2 linked regions of the Macaca mulatta genome follow. The protein of the gene in region 1 binds, or shares a complex with, the protein of each later gene. Links are inferred from orthologs where the notes say so. Each region holds a gene or a part of one and is shown in the gene's direction. Other genes may lie near its edges.

The links. The genes of interacting proteins can lie anywhere in the genome.
Region 2: HNRNPH2 (region 1) and PA2G4 share a complex: the UniProt entries of both Homo sapiens proteins name them as parts of the ribonucleoprotein complex. The link is inferred for Macaca mulatta from reciprocal best matches to the Homo sapiens genes HNRNPH2 and PA2G4.

Annotation. Positions count from the first base shown.
Region 1 is NC_133426.1:108,300,262-108,308,377, forward strand, and holds the end of HNRNPH2 (heterogeneous nuclear ribonucleoprotein H2), read left to right. Parts: intron 1-2,969; exon of another isoform or gene 2,970-2,990; 5' UTR 2,991-3,043; coding exon 3,044-4,393; 3' UTR 4,394-5,210; downstream 5,211-8,116. UniProt on the Homo sapiens protein: This protein is a component of the heterogeneous nuclear ribonucleoprotein (hnRNP) complexes which provide the substrate for the processing events that pre-mRNAs undergo before becoming functional, translatable mRNAs in the cytoplasm. Binds poly(RG).
Region 2 is NC_133416.1:63,258,484-63,266,415, forward strand, and holds the end of PA2G4 (proliferation-associated protein 2G4), read left to right. Parts: intron 1-875; coding exon 876-939; intron 940-1,487; coding exon 1,488-1,566; intron 1,567-2,029; coding exon 2,030-2,108; intron 2,109-2,189; coding exon 2,190-2,323; intron 2,324-2,599; coding exon 2,600-2,694; intron 2,695-2,818; coding exon 2,819-2,946; intron 2,947-3,110; coding exon 3,111-3,164; intron 3,165-4,434; coding exon 4,435-4,500; 3' UTR 4,501-4,501; intron 4,502-4,594; 3' UTR 4,595-5,516; downstream 5,517-7,932. UniProt on the Homo sapiens protein: May play a role in a ERBB3-regulated signal transduction pathway. Seems be involved in growth regulation. Acts a corepressor of the androgen receptor (AR) and is regulated by the ERBB3 ligand neuregulin-1/heregulin (HRG).

The DNA of each region.
Region 1 (8,116 bases):
GGGATAAGGCAAGCCAAAAAAAAAAAAAAAAAAAAAAAAAAATTGTACAAAATGTAATAAAAAACAGCCTGTAAATCTGTCACTGAGACCTTAGGATGGTTAATAGGAAAACTGTTATCACTGCAGATGCAGTCTGCTAGGCACTTAATATGCAATCAGTAAATGTTAAATCGTTTCCTCAGTGTAGTTTTATGGCCGTTATTACACTTTGTACTTTGTTTCCAAGAGGCCCAATGCTCACAGACCATATCAGATAACCATCCACATTCAAAATTGGACAATTTTATAAAATTTCCTATACCAAATCCCAGAAATGCAAACATTTTAATTTGTTTTATGTTGCTTTTTTGCTGAAGTAAAAGTAATTATTTCTGTAGAAATTTAAGACTGCATAAAAAAATTGGAAAAATAACATGGAAAATCCATTAACCTACCACTCAGAGTAACCACTAATATGTTCTTTCTAACTTAAAAAAAATCCCAGTACAGCAAATTTAAAGAATTAAAACTGTATAGAAGTATATAGGGTAAAAAGCGAAAAGCCCACTTCACTCCCCCTACCCTTCAGTTCTCTCAAAAACAAGTTTGCTTCCAGATCTTCTTTTATTTATTTACATACGTATATACATGCATGCTAATCTTTTACTATAAGTAGGATCATACTATGTATGTTCTTTCATTTAGTGTATTTTGGAGATCTTTCTGGGTCAAGGCAGATAGATTTTTTTTTAAATGGCTGCATTGCATTCCATTTTAAGGATAAGGTATAATTCATTCAGCCATTCCTCTAATGATGGCTATTTAGCTTTCCAATGTTCTGCCTTTACTAACAGTGCTGCAAGGAACATTCCTAAGTATTTCTGTTGACTAGATTCCTGGAAGGATTCTAGCAGTGTCAAAGGGTATGGGAATATGTATTTTGTACATAGTTGAGATTGTAAAGCAGCTGTGCTCTTGGGTCACTTATAATTATAGCATAAGTAATTTCTCATGTTATTAAATATTTTTGTAACTTTTAAAATTAAATGCATAATATTCCAGTTTTCTTAATAAAGTACTTTTCAAAGAATATATAGCTCCATAAATCTTTGTCTGAATTTCAGATCATCTCCTTAGGGCACATAACTGAAATGTATTTGCTGTCAAAAGGCGTGATACATATTATCAAATTGCTTTCAGGATATAGTGGGATTTATCAAAAAGGAAATAGTTTATATCAATTACCACTCCTCTAGTAGTGTATTATTAGTTTGTGAACTCTGCATAGCACTGATTTACTGTCACCGTTTAATTTCCATAATCTTGATGGGTGAAAAATAATGATTAGTTCTGGTTTTAACTTACTGGAAGATTGATTAAATTTGAACATTTCCCAGATTGCTCTCCTGTATCCTCCTATACCTGTATTCTCTCATACTTAATCTGTTATCAAGTCCCGCAGATTCCACTTTTTTTGGTATGTGTAGATATAGCTTTTCTCCATTTTACTCCTGTTGCCTTAGGCGATTCCTTTAACGTATATTTAAGAGACAAGTTCTAACTAATCTCCCTAGTTCCACCTCTGAGTACCACACTGTTGCCGGGGTGATCTGTCTGAAAGAGTTTTGGTGAAGTCACCCCACAAACTCCCCGGTTTAAAAGTCTTAAAAGGTGCTTAGTGTATATAGTGTGTATATACTTCTATACAGTTTTAATTCTTTAAATTTGCTGCACTGGGATTTTTTTAAGTTAGAATGAACATATTAGTGGTTACTCTGAGTGGTAGGTTTATGGATTTTCCATGTTATTTTTCCAGTTTTTTTATGCAGTCTTAACTAAGCACTGCATAAAAGTCTTTGGGATCTGATCTATGCCTTGCCAGCCTTTTCTCTTGCTTTTCCCTCTCCTATTTGTGCTTTATCATAATTTTAAAAAATCGTTTATGGATCCCTGGGCAGGTTAGTCTGTTTCATTTAACCATTTGACCTCCAACCAATAGAACTGATCAACTAGTCCCTCCTTGATACTATGCTTATACCCCACCCAGAGGGTCATGGCAAGTATAATGTATATTTGCATTTACATCTTTAATAATGATATTTGGTGCTCCTGTAGGATCATAAGCCCTTTCTGGGCTTATTGATTCTTGTATGCCAGAGCTGAGTATTGGACATGGCAACTAAAAAATATTTCTAAAATGAATGTGTGAATTCCCAATAATGTCTTTTTTTCATTTATCTCTGAAGCCCAAATATTTCCCTGATTTTATTGATTTGCATACATTTGTATATAAGGAGATTATATAAAGAACGTATATAACCTGTGTTTTGTTTGTGTTTTAATGTTTTAATTGTTGTTTAATCTTTTGATCTAGTGAAGTTTTTTATGTGTGTATATTCAGATATAGCTATCTTTTATTTGTTGACCTATCCCACTGATTTGTTGATGTTATTTTATTTATTTATTTATTTTTTGAGACTTAGTTTCGCTCTGGTGGCCCATGCTGGAGTGCAGTGGCGTGATCTCGGCTCACCTCCACCTCCTGGGTACATAAAAGTGGTTTTCCTGCCTCAGCCTCCCAAGTAGCTGGGATTACAGGCGCCTGCCACCACGCCCAGCCAATTTTTTGTATTTTTAGTAGAGACAGGGTTTCACCATGTTGGCCAGGCTGGTCTCTGACCTCTAGGTGGTACACCCGCCTGACCTCAGGTGGTACTACTGACCTCAGGTGGTACACCCGCCTCAGCCTCCCAAAGTGCTGGGATTACAGGCGTGAGCCACCACACCCGGCCGATTGCTATTAATTTTTAATGGTATCCAACATGTAATAGGCATTGAATAAATAACTTAAAAAATGAATGAGTTAAAAATTTGGTGAACTCTTTGTTTATACAGACATCTTACAGAAAAGCTGTCAGCATAGTTGAATTTTCTATTAATAGTTTGCTTTTTTATCTTACTATATCACGGGCATTTTTCCATGACAGTAGTCTTCTAATTTTTTTTTTCAGCTACACTAAAATTGCATTGAGCCAAACTTGCCACCAAGAGCCCAACAGTCACCATGATGCTGAGCACGGAAGGCAGGGAGGGGTTCGTGGTGAAGGTCAGGGGCCTACCCTGGTCCTGCTCAGCCGATGAAGTGATGCGCTTCTTCTCTGATTGCAAGATCCAAAATGGCACATCAGGTATTCGTTTCATCTACACCAGAGAAGGCAGACCAAGTGGTGAAGCATTTGTTGAACTTGAATCTGAAGAGGAAGTGAAATTGGCTTTGAAGAAGGACAGAGAAACCATGGGACACAGATACGTTGAAGTATTCAAGTCTAACAGTGTTGAAATGGATTGGGTGTTGAAGCATACAGGTCCGAATAGCCCTGATACTGCCAACGATGGCTTCGTCCGGCTTAGAGGACTCCCATTTGGCTGTAGCAAGGAAGAGATTGTTCAGTTCTTTTCAGGGTTGGAAATTGTGCCAAATGGGATGACACTGCCAGTGGACTTTCAGGGGCGAAGCACAGGGGAAGCCTTTGTGCAGTTTGCTTCGCAGGAGATAGCTGAGAAGGCCTTAAAGAAACACAAGGAAAGAATAGGGCACAGGTACATTGAGATCTTCAAGAGTAGCCGAGCTGAAGTTCGAACCCACTATGATCCCCCTCGAAAGCTCATGGCTATGCAGCGGCCAGGTCCCTATGATAGGCCGGGGGCTGGCAGAGGGTATAATAGCATTGGCAGAGGAGCTGGGTTTGAAAGGATGAGGCGTGGTGCCTACGGTGGAGGGTATGGAGGCTATGATGACTATGGTGGCTATAATGATGGATATGGCTTTGGGTCTGATAGATTTGGAAGAGACCTCAATTACTGTTTTTCAGGAATGTCTGATCATAGATATGGAGATGGTGGGTCCAGTTTCCAGAGCACCACAGGGCACTGTGTACACATGAGGGGGTTACCTTACAGAGCCACTGAGAATGATATTTATAATTTCTTCTCACCTCTTAATCCCATGAGAGTACATATTGAAATTGGACCCGATGGCAGAGTTACTGGTGAGGCAGATGTTGAATTTGCTACTCATGAAGATGCTGTGGCAGCTATGGCAAAAGACAAAGCTAATATGCAACATAGATATGTGGAGCTCTTCTTAAATTCTACTGCAGGAACAAGTGGGGGTGCTTACGATCACAGCTATGTAGAACTTTTTTTGAATTCTACAGCAGGGGCAAGTGGTGGGGCTTATGGTAGCCAAATGATGGGAGGGATGGGCTTATCCAACCAGTCTAGTTATGGAGGTCCTGCTAGCCAGCAGCTGAGTGGTGGTTATGGAGGTGGTTATGGTGGTCAGAGCAGTATGAGTGGATATGACCAAGTTCTGCAGGAAAATTCCAGTGACTATCAGTCAAACCTTGCTTAGGTAGAGAAGGAGCACCAAACAGCTACTCCATATATAAAAGCTGTACATTTGTGGGAGTTGAATAGAATGGGAGGGATGTCTAGTATATCCAGTATGATTGGTAAATGGGAAATATAATTGATTCTGATCACTCTTGGTCAGCTTCTCTTTCTTTATCTTTCTTTCTCCTTTTTTAAGAAAACAAGAGTTAAGTTTAACAGTTTTGCATTACAGGCTTGTGATTCATGCTTACTGTAAAGTGGAAGTTGAGATTATTTTAAAACTTCAAGCTCAGTAATTTTGAACACTGAAACATTCATCTAGGACATAATAACAAAGTTCAGTATTGACCATAACTGTTAAAACAATTTTTAGCTTTCCTCAAGTTAGTTATGTTGTAGGAGTGTACCTAAGCAGTAAGCGTATTTAGGTTAATGCAGTTTCACTTATGTTAAATGTTGCTCTTATACCACAAATACATTGAAAACTTCGGATGCATGTTGAGAAACATGCTTTTCTGTAAAACTCAAATATAGGAGCTGTGTCTACGATTCAAAGTGAAAACATTTGGCATGTTTGTTAATTCTAGCTTTTTGGTTTAATATCCTGTAAGGCACGTGAGTGTACACTTTTTTTTTTTTTTTTTTTTTTTTTTTGAAGGATACGGGACAATTTTAAGATGTAATACCAATACTTTAGAAGTTTGGTCGTGTTGTTTGTATGAAATTCTGAGGCTTTGGTTTAAATCTTTCCTTGTATTGTGATTTCCATTTAGATGTATTGTACTAAGTGAAACTTGTTAAATAAATCTTCCTTTTAAAAACTGGAAAAAATCTTGTGCTGATTGATTTTTATTATGTTCTGTCATATGGGCACGCTGATTGACTTTATAATTCCCTCAAAATTAAAATTTTTAATTTTAAAATTATAAACAATATATTTAGCATCTTTATATGTTCATTGTTGCATATATCATTAATTATTTCTAAGATATATCCCTAGAAATGGGATTGCTGAGTCAAAGATACACTCATTTTTAAGGCTTCTGATTTGTGTTACCAGCAAGATTCTGGTACTTTATCTTTTTACCTGGAGTGTGTGCTTTATTTTCCCCCTTATGCCCTCCTTATTGATGCACATTATTCTTTGTGATCTTTGCCAGTCTGTTAGTTGAGAAATGATATCTCATTGCAATTTTAATTTGTATTTTTTTGATTAATATTAAAGTTGAACATTTTCTTCTTTTTTAAAAAAACTTACCATGTCTACAGGACTATTGAGCTACTTTTGGAGCCACTTACCAAGATAGTATTCTCTAAAATCCAAAGAAGTGAAAGCGAATAAATAATCCTTTGTATTTCATCACAAACTAGAAGGCACCTTTGTATGTTAAAAAAGAAGTAGGCTTACAATTATGTGTCAAAAACAAAACATAAAAAAGAAGCAGGCTTATGTTAAGGAAATAAATTGTCTCCTCCATGAATTCATTAGGAGATTCTCTAAACACTCTCAGGTGTATTTTAGGGCATCTAAAGCTTATCTTAAACCAGCGTTCTCAAACTTTTCATGTGCATCAGAATCATCTGCAGGGGTTGTTTAAACATTCATTTCTAGGCCCCATCCCTAGAGTTTACAGTTCAGTAGTTTTGGGATGTTGCTTGAGAATGTGCTGATACTGCTGGTCTCAAGACCATGTTTTGAGACCCATCACAGTTCCCCAAACAACTTTAAGGAGCAGCTTCCTTTATGATCCCTGATCGCCTCCCCTTTGTTCCCATAACAAGTAGTTTAAGTTTTCTATTAAAGTCCAAACCACATGTTTACAATACCTTGCACCTCTCATGAGGATTCTGAGCACCTGTGGCATTGTGTGCTGATGTCTTAGATTTTTGTCTGGATCACAGTGGTCATTAACAATTCCACCCCTCAATGACTTTAAGACCCCAATGTCCCTCTGATCAGTACCAACTGTATCTTGAACTACAGATCTCTTTGTAGTTTCACTGACCCCTTGGGAACTGTATTGCTATACTTGGGCTGTTCAGAGCTTGGGACCCAGAGAAATGAGATGGGAGGCAAATACCAAGTTGGTATTACCTGACTCCATTTCATTCAGGAAATGAAAATCAATTCTGGAAAATCATTCAAGCTGAAGATGCAGTGGGACGTGATTGAAATTCTTTGATGACTTCTAATTTTTATCACAGCTTTCAGGAGAGCAAGAAACCCATTTTGACTCCTATCATGTTGAGCCAGTCCTTGTCCAGGAAGCCTTTCTCAGAGGGTAAACAAGTAGGTGTTTTTGCCTTCCCAGGCTACTTAGTTAATTTTCCAGAAGTTTCTCTAAGTCTGAGCAAAGATTCTCAAGTTAGCCACTAGATGGCACCAAATCCCAGGAGACAATGGAGGGCTCCTTGTGATCTTAAATGTTCACTTACTCTTCTTCGCTGGATAAGAAAATTCAGAAGGGCTCTGGGGAGCAAAGGAGAGAACCTGGAGAAGGTCAGTGGTCAGCACTAGAGGTTCCAAAGGGACAGCAGTATAGCTGGTGTGCACACGCATGCACACACACCACCACACGTGCTCCAACACTCACATCTAACACTACTACCCAGGAAAGTGCCGGGAGGTAGAGTGGGCAGCCCACCCACAACACCCCCCAAACACTGAGTCAGAGGATTTATTTTCAACTGCGTGTGTGAGCTATTTGGCAGGATCAGGCAGAAAATTTGCAGCCACAATTATCACGGCCTAAGAGTATCGGATGGCTTGTGCCAGTGGTTCTCTGGGTGTGGTGCCCAATCAGTAACAGCATGAACCTCCACCTTGTGAGATATGCAGATTATTTTTTGCCCCCCCGCCCCACCCCCTTTCCCCCAACGACTGAATCAGAAACTGGGGGTGGAGCCCAACAAGCTGTGTTTTGTTTTTTGTGTTTTTCTGAGACAGGGTCTCGCTCTGTTGCCCAGGCTGGAGTGCGGTGGTGTGATCTCGGCTCACTGCAGCCTTGAATTCCAGGCTCAAGCGATATTCCCACCTCAGCCTCTTGAGTAGCTGGGACCACAGGTGAGTACCACCAAGCCCAGTTATTTTTAAAATGATTTTTATAGAGACGGGATCTCACTATGTTGCCTAGGCTAGTCTCGAACTCCTAGGCTCAAGAGATCCTCCTGCCTCGACCTCTCAAAGTGCTGGGATTACAGGTGTGAACCTCTGTCCGGCCAATAAGCTGTGTTTTAACAAGTGCTCAGGGTGGTTCTGCTGCAGGGAACTACTGGCTGATGGATACATGGATTCCGTTATCCACCCATTCTTTGATTCCTGCATTCACTCATCCAACCCTAAAGGAAGTAACCAAAACAAAGACAATTCCATGTGTAAGCATGACATATCTTCTCTGCCTTCTCTACCCAGCAAAGTGATATGAAAATGCATTGTGAACGTGTTTATAAATCAAGCTCCTTTTCCATCAGGTAGAATTCCTAGCGCTGTCAGCTAAAATGAAGGTTTCTTCAAGATGGGCCTCCAGGGCTATTGCAAAACAGCTGCTGATGGAAGGAAATTCCACTTGCTGTGCCTTATACCAGGCCGGGAGTGTCACAAGAGCCCTTTACAAGCTGCTCCCACACTGACCAAAATTGTCTTCTCGTGAGTGCAAAGCAGGCAAGTCCAAGGGGCTCAGGTTAGCATGGTGCAGGGCTCCGCTGGGAAGGTGAGGGGTTATCGTCGTGGGGGAGTGTCGAC
Region 2 (7,932 bases), on another chromosome or scaffold:
GTTCACTTGCAAAATTTATTGAAGTAGACCATCTTTGTGAAAGCACAGGGTAAAATGATATGCAAATACACCTGGTCCTCGGCTTGATGCCACATTCAGTAGAAGCTATGCTTTGAGTACCCATACAACCATTCTGGTTTTCATTTTCCATGTAGTATTTAGTAAATTACATGAGATATTCAACACTATTATAAAATAGGCATATGTTAGATAATTCTGCCCAATTGTAGGATAATGTTTTTTAAGTGCTCTGAGTACATTTAACATAGGCTAGGCTATGATAGGTAGGTTAGGTGTATTAAATGCATTTTTGACTTAGTGATATTTTCAACTTACAATGAGTTTTTTTAAGATATAACCCCATTGCAAGTTGGGGAGCATCTGTATAAAATATTTTTAGATTGTAAGGATAATCAAGCTATGAAACGAAAAACCAGTGAATGAGTATCATTGGGACTTGATGGACGATATTAGAAGGCTCAGTTCTGTCAGGTGCGGTGGCTCATGCCTGTAATCCCACCACTTTGGGAGGCTGAGGTGGGCGGATCACGAGGTCAGGAGATTGAGACCATCCTGGCCAACATGGTGAAACCCCGTCTCCGCTAAAAATACAAAAATTAGCTGGGCGTGGTGGTGCATGTCTGTAATCCCAGCTACTCAGGAGGCTGAGGCAGGAGAAGAGCTTGAACCCAGGAGGCAGAGGTTGCAGTGAACCGAGATCACGCCACTGCACTCCAGCCTGGCGACAAAGCTAGACTCCATCTCAAAAAAAAAAAAAAGAATGCTCAGTTCAGTTCTTTTATGCTTCTTATTCTCATTGTAGAGAACTTATTAGCTCCTGATATCTCACCTTTTGTTTGATGTTGTACTTCTAGAACACACAAGTGACAGAAGCCTGGAACAAAGTTGCCCACTCATTTAACTGCACGCCAATAGAAGGTGAGAACAGATAACAGGGTTGAGGGTCTAAGAATGAGTGGCTTTGCCGGGCGCGGTGGCTCACTCCTGTAATCCCAGCACTTTGGAAGGCCAAGGCAGGTGGATCACCTGAAGTCAGGAGTTTAAGACCAGCCTGACCAACATGGTGAAACCCCGTCTCTACTAAAAGTACAAAAATTAGCTGGGCGTGGTGGCGGGCGCCTGTAATCCCAGCTACTTGGGAGGTTGTGGTGAGACTTGAACCCGGGAGGCGGAGGTTGCAGTGAGCTGAGATCGCGCCATTGCACTCCAGTCTGGGCAATAAGAGCGAAACTCCATCTCAGAAAAAAAAAAAAAAAAGAATGAGTCGCTTTGCAGAATTGAGGCTTTTGCCCCCTTGAAGATCTATCCAGCTATAACCCAGTCTAAGCCAGAAATCTCAGGGCCCTGTGTTTCCATAACCAGGTAGTTTTCTCACTGCCTACCCCTTCAAACTACTGAAGTAGGTAGATTTGGAAATCTTTTGGGATACTGGATAGCTCGTTCCATAGGTTGTGTCCTGTCTACAGGTATGCTGTCACACCAGTTGAAGCAGCATGTCATCGATGGAGAAAAAACCATTATCCAGAATCCCACAGACCAGCAGAAGTAGGTGCCAACCCTATTCATCACCTTCTACCATACCAGACTAGTCATCAGGTTTTTTTCTATACTCCCAACTGAATCTTGTCTACCCTTTACTCCATGCTTTCAGGAGTGACCTGTTGCTCTTAATATTTCCTTTCTCTAGGCCGGGCATGGTGGCTCATGCCTGTAATCCCGGCACTTTGGGAGGCTGAGGCAGGTGGATCACCTGAGGTCACGAGTTCGGAACCACCCTGACCAATATGGCGAAACCCTGTCTCTACTAAAAAATACAAAAATGAGCCAGGCGTGGTGGTGTGTTCCTGTCGTCCCAGCTACTTGGGAGGCTGAGGCAGGAGAGTTGCTTGAACCTGGGAGGCGGAGGTTGCAGTGAGCTGAGATTGTGCCACTGCACTCCAGCCTGGGTGACAGAATGAGACTGTGTGTCAAAAAAAAAAAAAGTTCCCTTTCTCTCTATTCCTTTTAGGAAGGACCATGAAAAAGCTGAATTTGAGGTACATGAAGTATATGCTGTGGATGTTCTCGTCAGCTCAGGAGAGGGCAAGGTGAGGAGAGTACCAGAGTTGGCTAAGAGGGGTGACTGAGAGTGTTCACCAGACCAAATGTTACTTAAATTACCCTTTCAGGCCAAGGATGCAGGACAGAGAACCACTATTTACAAACGAGACCCCTCTAAACAGTATGGACTGAAAATGAAAACTTCACGTGCCTTCTTCAGTGAGGTGGAAAGGCGTTTTGATGCTATGCCGTTTACTTTAAGGTACTACACTTAGCAATGATAGTACATGGAACCAGTCTGACTCACAGACCATACACCCAGGAACACTTTTTCCTCTCCCTTCCTGCCTAGACTTGTAGCGTGCACGTGCTCACTCCCTCCCTCTCTCTCCCCATCTCCTTCTCACTGAAGGTAATGTAAAAGAGCAATCCTAAGCATGATTTCTGCCTGAGGGTAGGAGCTATTTTAAAATATGAGCAAAATGGTAAGACTTGACGGGGAGTTAAGGATACCTCTGAATATCATCTTCCCTGCCAGAGCATTTGAAGATGAGAAGAAGGCTCGGATGGGTGTGGTGGAGTGCGCCAAACATGAACTGCTGCAACCATTTAATGTTCTCTATGAGAAGGAGGGTGAGTTCTAAAAAGGAGCTTCACTTTGGATTCCCTGATTATATGATATCCTTCCTATAAATTCAGAAGAGCTAAGTATGACAAAGGAACTTTTTATCGAAACACATCTTCATTTTTGCCATAGGTGAATTTGTTGCCCAGTTTAAATTTACAGTTCTGCTCATGCCCAATGGCCCCATGCGGATAACCAGTGGTCCCTTTGAACCTGACCTCTACAAGTCTGAGATGGAGGTCCAGGATGCAGAGCTAAAGGTTAGTGTGGAATAGAAGGTGGTAAATACGTACATGGTACCTGCCTGGAAGTGAGGGCTAAATGCCAGCAAAGTCCTGAAGAGAGCTACAGTACTGAAAGTAACCCTTTGTTTTTAATTTCCTCCACATTCCTCAAAATTTTTTTCCTTCTTCCTGTTTTCCAGGCCCTCCTCCAGAGTTCTGCAAGTCGAAAAACCCAGAAAAAGAAAAAAAAGAAGGTGTGTTTTACTATCATCCTTCCCTGGCAGGGTGAACCTGATCCCTCTTTGTCCCACTGTGTTAGGTTGTAGTGGGATACGGATGTTTGTATAGATGCTCCTCAACTTAATATGATAGGCCTTTGTCCCAGTAAACCCATCATAAATTGAAAATACTATAAGTCAAAATGGATTTTAAGATATATATATATTTTTTTAAGAGACAGGGTCTCAAACTCCTGGCCTTAAACAGTCCTCCCACCTCAGCCTCCCAAACTGTTGAGATTACAGGCATGAGCCACCATGCCCAGCCTTGTTTTGGCCAGGCACAGTGGCTCACGCCTGTAATCCCAGCACTTTAGGAGGCCAAGGCGGACGGATCACCTGAGGTCGGGAGTTTGAGATCAGCCTGGCCAACGTAGAGAAACCCTGTATCTACTAAAAATACAAAATTAGCTGGGCGTGGTGGCACATGCTTGTAATCCCAGCTACTTGGGAGGCTGAGGCAGGAGAATTGTTTGAACCTGAACCTGGGAGGCAGAGGTTGCAGTGAGCCGAGGTCGCACCATTTCTGCTGGACAACAAGAGTGAAACTCCGTCTCAAAAAAAGATGATCCCACTCTGTCACCCGGGCTGACGTGTAGTGGCATGATCATAGCTCACTGTAGCCTCATGCTTCTCCTGGGTTCAAGTGATTGTCTGGCCTTAACCTGCTGAGTAGCCACCACCATGCCTGACTCAAAATGGATTTGATATACCTTAACCTACCATGAACCTCATAGCTTAGCCTGGCCTACCTTCAGTGTGCTCAAAACATTTATTGAACAAATTATCATGTATTGAAATATCCATATTGCTTTCACACCATCGTAAAGTTGAAAAATCACAGGTTGACCATTATAAGTCAGAGACCTGTATATCTTTATTTCATCTGTGACCCAGAGGATTGAGATAACTTTATGGCTGGGTGTGGTGGTTCACACATATAATCCCAACAGTTTGGGAAGCCTAGGCAGGAGGATCACTTGAGCCCAGGAGTTCAAGATCAGCCTGGGCAACATGGTGGCATGTGCCTATAGTCCCAGCTACCTGGGAGGCTGAGGTGGAAGGATCACCTGAGCCCAGGGAAGTTGAGGCTACAGCAAGCCATGTTGTACCACTGCACTCCAGCCTGGACGACAGAGTGAGACTGTCTCAGAAAAAAAAAAACACTTTTATCTCTGGTCCCAGACACTACCCCCAAATAGTTAGAAACTGACACGTCTTCTCCCTCTCCTTTTCTTGCATATAGGCCTCCAAGACTGCAGAGAATGCCACCAGTGGGGAAACATTAGAAGAAAATGAAGCTGGGGACTGAGGTGGGTCCCATCTCCCCAGCTTGCTGCTCCTGCCTCATCCCCTTCCCAACACACCCCAGACTCTGTGAAGTGCAGTTCTTCTTCTCCATCTAGGACCGCCAGCAGAGCGGGGGTCTCCCTGCCCCCACCCCAGTTCCCCAACCCACTCCCTTCCAACAACAACCAGCTCCAACTGACTCTGGTCTTGGGAGGCGAGGCTTCCCAACCACGGAAGACTACTTTAAATGAAAAAAAGAAATTGAATAATAAAATCAGGAGTCAAAATTCATCGTCTTCAAGCCCCTCTTTCTAGCCTTTTCTACTACTATGCTTGGTCAAGGTTTGTGCCCTACTACAGAACAGGGCTAAATTAGCCATCACCACTGAAAACTCAGCTGAATTTTTTATACCACTCTGATGTCAGCATTTTTCCATCTGTTTGGGGCCTTTTCCTCTTTTTTTCCATTCTCCCCAGGTATTTTATCTGGCTTCAAAATTAGGAGGATTATTTTTCAGATTGTTTTTATTCAGTGTGGCCGATTCCTCATCTGATTCAGGCTGTCCAGTCAGGCCCCTCCCATTTTAGGAGCTGGAGCCTTCATTTATGAAGAGATTCTCATCTATGAAATGGATCCTCATTTGTAAATCTTTTTTCTTCCATTTTCACAAAGCTGTAAAGAAATAATCCATCTCAACCTTACCCTTTTCTCTGGAGTCAGTGGGGTCTTTCCTCACTCCATCTTACACAAACCTGAGCTGGAAGCTCAACTGGTTTTGTTCCCTGTTTGAAATATTGTGATCTCCCTCCCTTGAAAGAAAAACCAAGAACCAGAGGAGTAGACTGACTGAAGATACAACTCCTGGCTTTCTGAAGCTATGGACTTGGATTGGATTGCTGGGGGTTTGTAGAGAAAGGTGACAAATTTCAGTACCTCTGGCATGCTGTCCCAGGAAACTAGGGCTCCCACTAACTTATGAGGTTTTTAAACACATTGAAAATGACATGACATTAAAATAAATTTGGATTTGCTCATAATGATGTGCTTTGTATGCTGCTCTTATTTGATGGAGATGGGGAGAATGAATGTCAGTTGAAGTAGTATTGGAACTGTTCCTCCACAGTGCCATGCTCTGCCTTCCCAAAACGAGCAATGTCTTGACTTGCAGAAGACACAAATCCTAGAATCTTTGATGACATAGTAAGTTATCTGCTGGAGTTGGGTGATGTAATTTTCTAAGTAGAAACAGTCCTCACTGCTAAGATTTGTTTGGGGCTAGGACACTTAATGTGTACTGCAAAAACAGCACTGCAAGTGTTTATCTTGAATTCAGGAAGCCAGGAAGAATGTCTGGTACACTAGTTTTCAGGGCCAGACTGAGGTCAGATGGGTAATTAGTTTATCTTAGTGCATGTCAGGCATTGCTAAACTAGAGATACTACAAGTGAACAGAACTGAACGCAGGACAAATGTCTAATGACGTATATCCACCATTAAAATAGTGGTTTCAGTGCCCTAAAAATCCTCTGTGTTTTGCCTGTTCATCCCTCTCTCCTTGCTCACACATTTGTCCAAAGGCAAAGAATGTACAATGCCAAGAGTGAACTGTAGTGTAAACTAAACTATGGATTTGGGGTGATAATGGTATATCAACGTAGGTTCAATTGTTAACAAATGTACCACTCTGGCAGGGTGGAGGGATGTTTATAAAGGGGGAGGCTATATGTGTGGGAAATGTCTAACCTTCCTCAATTTTGCTGTGAACCTAAAACTTCTAAAAAAATTAAGTCTATTTAAAAAAAAAAAAAAAAACGGTCAAGTGCTCATGCCTGTAATTCCAGCACTTTGGGAGGCCGAGGCAGGCAGATCACCTGCGGTCAGGAGATCAAGACCAGCCTCGCCAACATGGTGAAACCCCATCTCTACTAAAAATACAAAAAGCCGGGTTTAGTGGCAGGCGTCTGTAATCCCAGCTACTTGGGAGGCTGAGGCAGGAGAATCGCTTGAACCCAGGAGGCGGAGGTTGCAGTGAGCCAAGATCGCGCCACTGCACTCCAGCCTGGGTGACAAGAGTGAAACTCCGTATCAAAAACAAAACAATTTCCCTAAAGAGCTTATAGACGGCGGGGCGCGGTGGCTCAAGCCTGTAATCCCAGCACTTTGGGAGGCCGAGACGGGTGGATCACGAAGTCAGGAGATCGAGACCATCCTGGCGAACGCAGTGAAACCCCATCTCTACTAAAACTACAAAAAACTAGCCGGGCGAGGTGGCGGCGCCTATAGTCCCAGCTACTCGGGAGGCTGAGGCAGGAGAATGGCGTAAACCCGGGAGGCGGAGCTTGCAGTGAGCTGAGATCCGGCCACTGCACTCCAGCCTGGGCGACAGAGCGAGACTCCGTCTCAAAAAAAAAAAAAAAAAAAAAAAAGAGCTTATAGACCAGTTGGCAATCATCAGTTGAAATCTTGGTGGAATTGATACAAAATAATTCTGATAGGATTTTTTTTGTTTCAAAAAACTTGTCATATATGTTTGGGTGGTGACAATACTAGAACTACTTAGAAGGAACCTAATTTTAAAAACGTTTTTCAGGGATTGAAAGTGAAATGTTATAGAATATAATAAAGGGAAACCACAAAAAAAGAGGGACTGTAACAATCACATACAAAATGTTACAGTATTTTGAACTATAAGATGAAGTCTCTAGGGAAAGGGTTCTTTTTCATCCCCCATTAACTCAAAACTTTCCTGTAGCCAAATAGGGGATCTGGTTGTTTTTCAGTGCTTCTCACCTGAGCATGCAATCAAAGTGGGAAGTTCTTTATCTTAACACCAAATGTCATACTTTCCCTAGATTTGGCTAATTTTCTCCCTATGTCCATTGGTTCGCTCTTCACCCCTAGATAATCACTGCATAGGTCACTGCAGCCTCGACTTCCTGGGCTCGAGATTCCCCCACCTCAGCCTCCCAAAGTGCTGGGATGATCGCGCCCGGCCCGCTGACGTATTTTCTGAACAAATGATACATTGTAGCCAGGAATCTCTAGTGATATTTTGCTTCAGGCTTCGTGAGGAAAGACCATAGTCAGCTATTTTATTCTTGAAGTTTAGGAAAAAGAATTGCTCTATCTTAAACAGTGAAAGGATATTTTTTGAAGTATGGCAGCTTTCCCGAATCCCCACTTTATATCTTCCTATGTTCTGAAATCTTAGGACCTTCGATGGTTCCGGAATCGAATCACCCTGAAGCAATTTATTTTAGTGGCTCACGCCTGTAATCCCAGCACTTTGGGAGGCCGAGGCGGGCGGATCACAAGGTCAGGAGATCGAGACCACGGTGAAACCCCGTCTCTACTAAAAAAAAATACAAAAAATTAGCCGGGCGCTGTTGTGGGCGCCTGTAGTCCCAGCTACTCGGGAGGCTGAGGCAGGAGAATGGCGTGAACCCGGGAGGC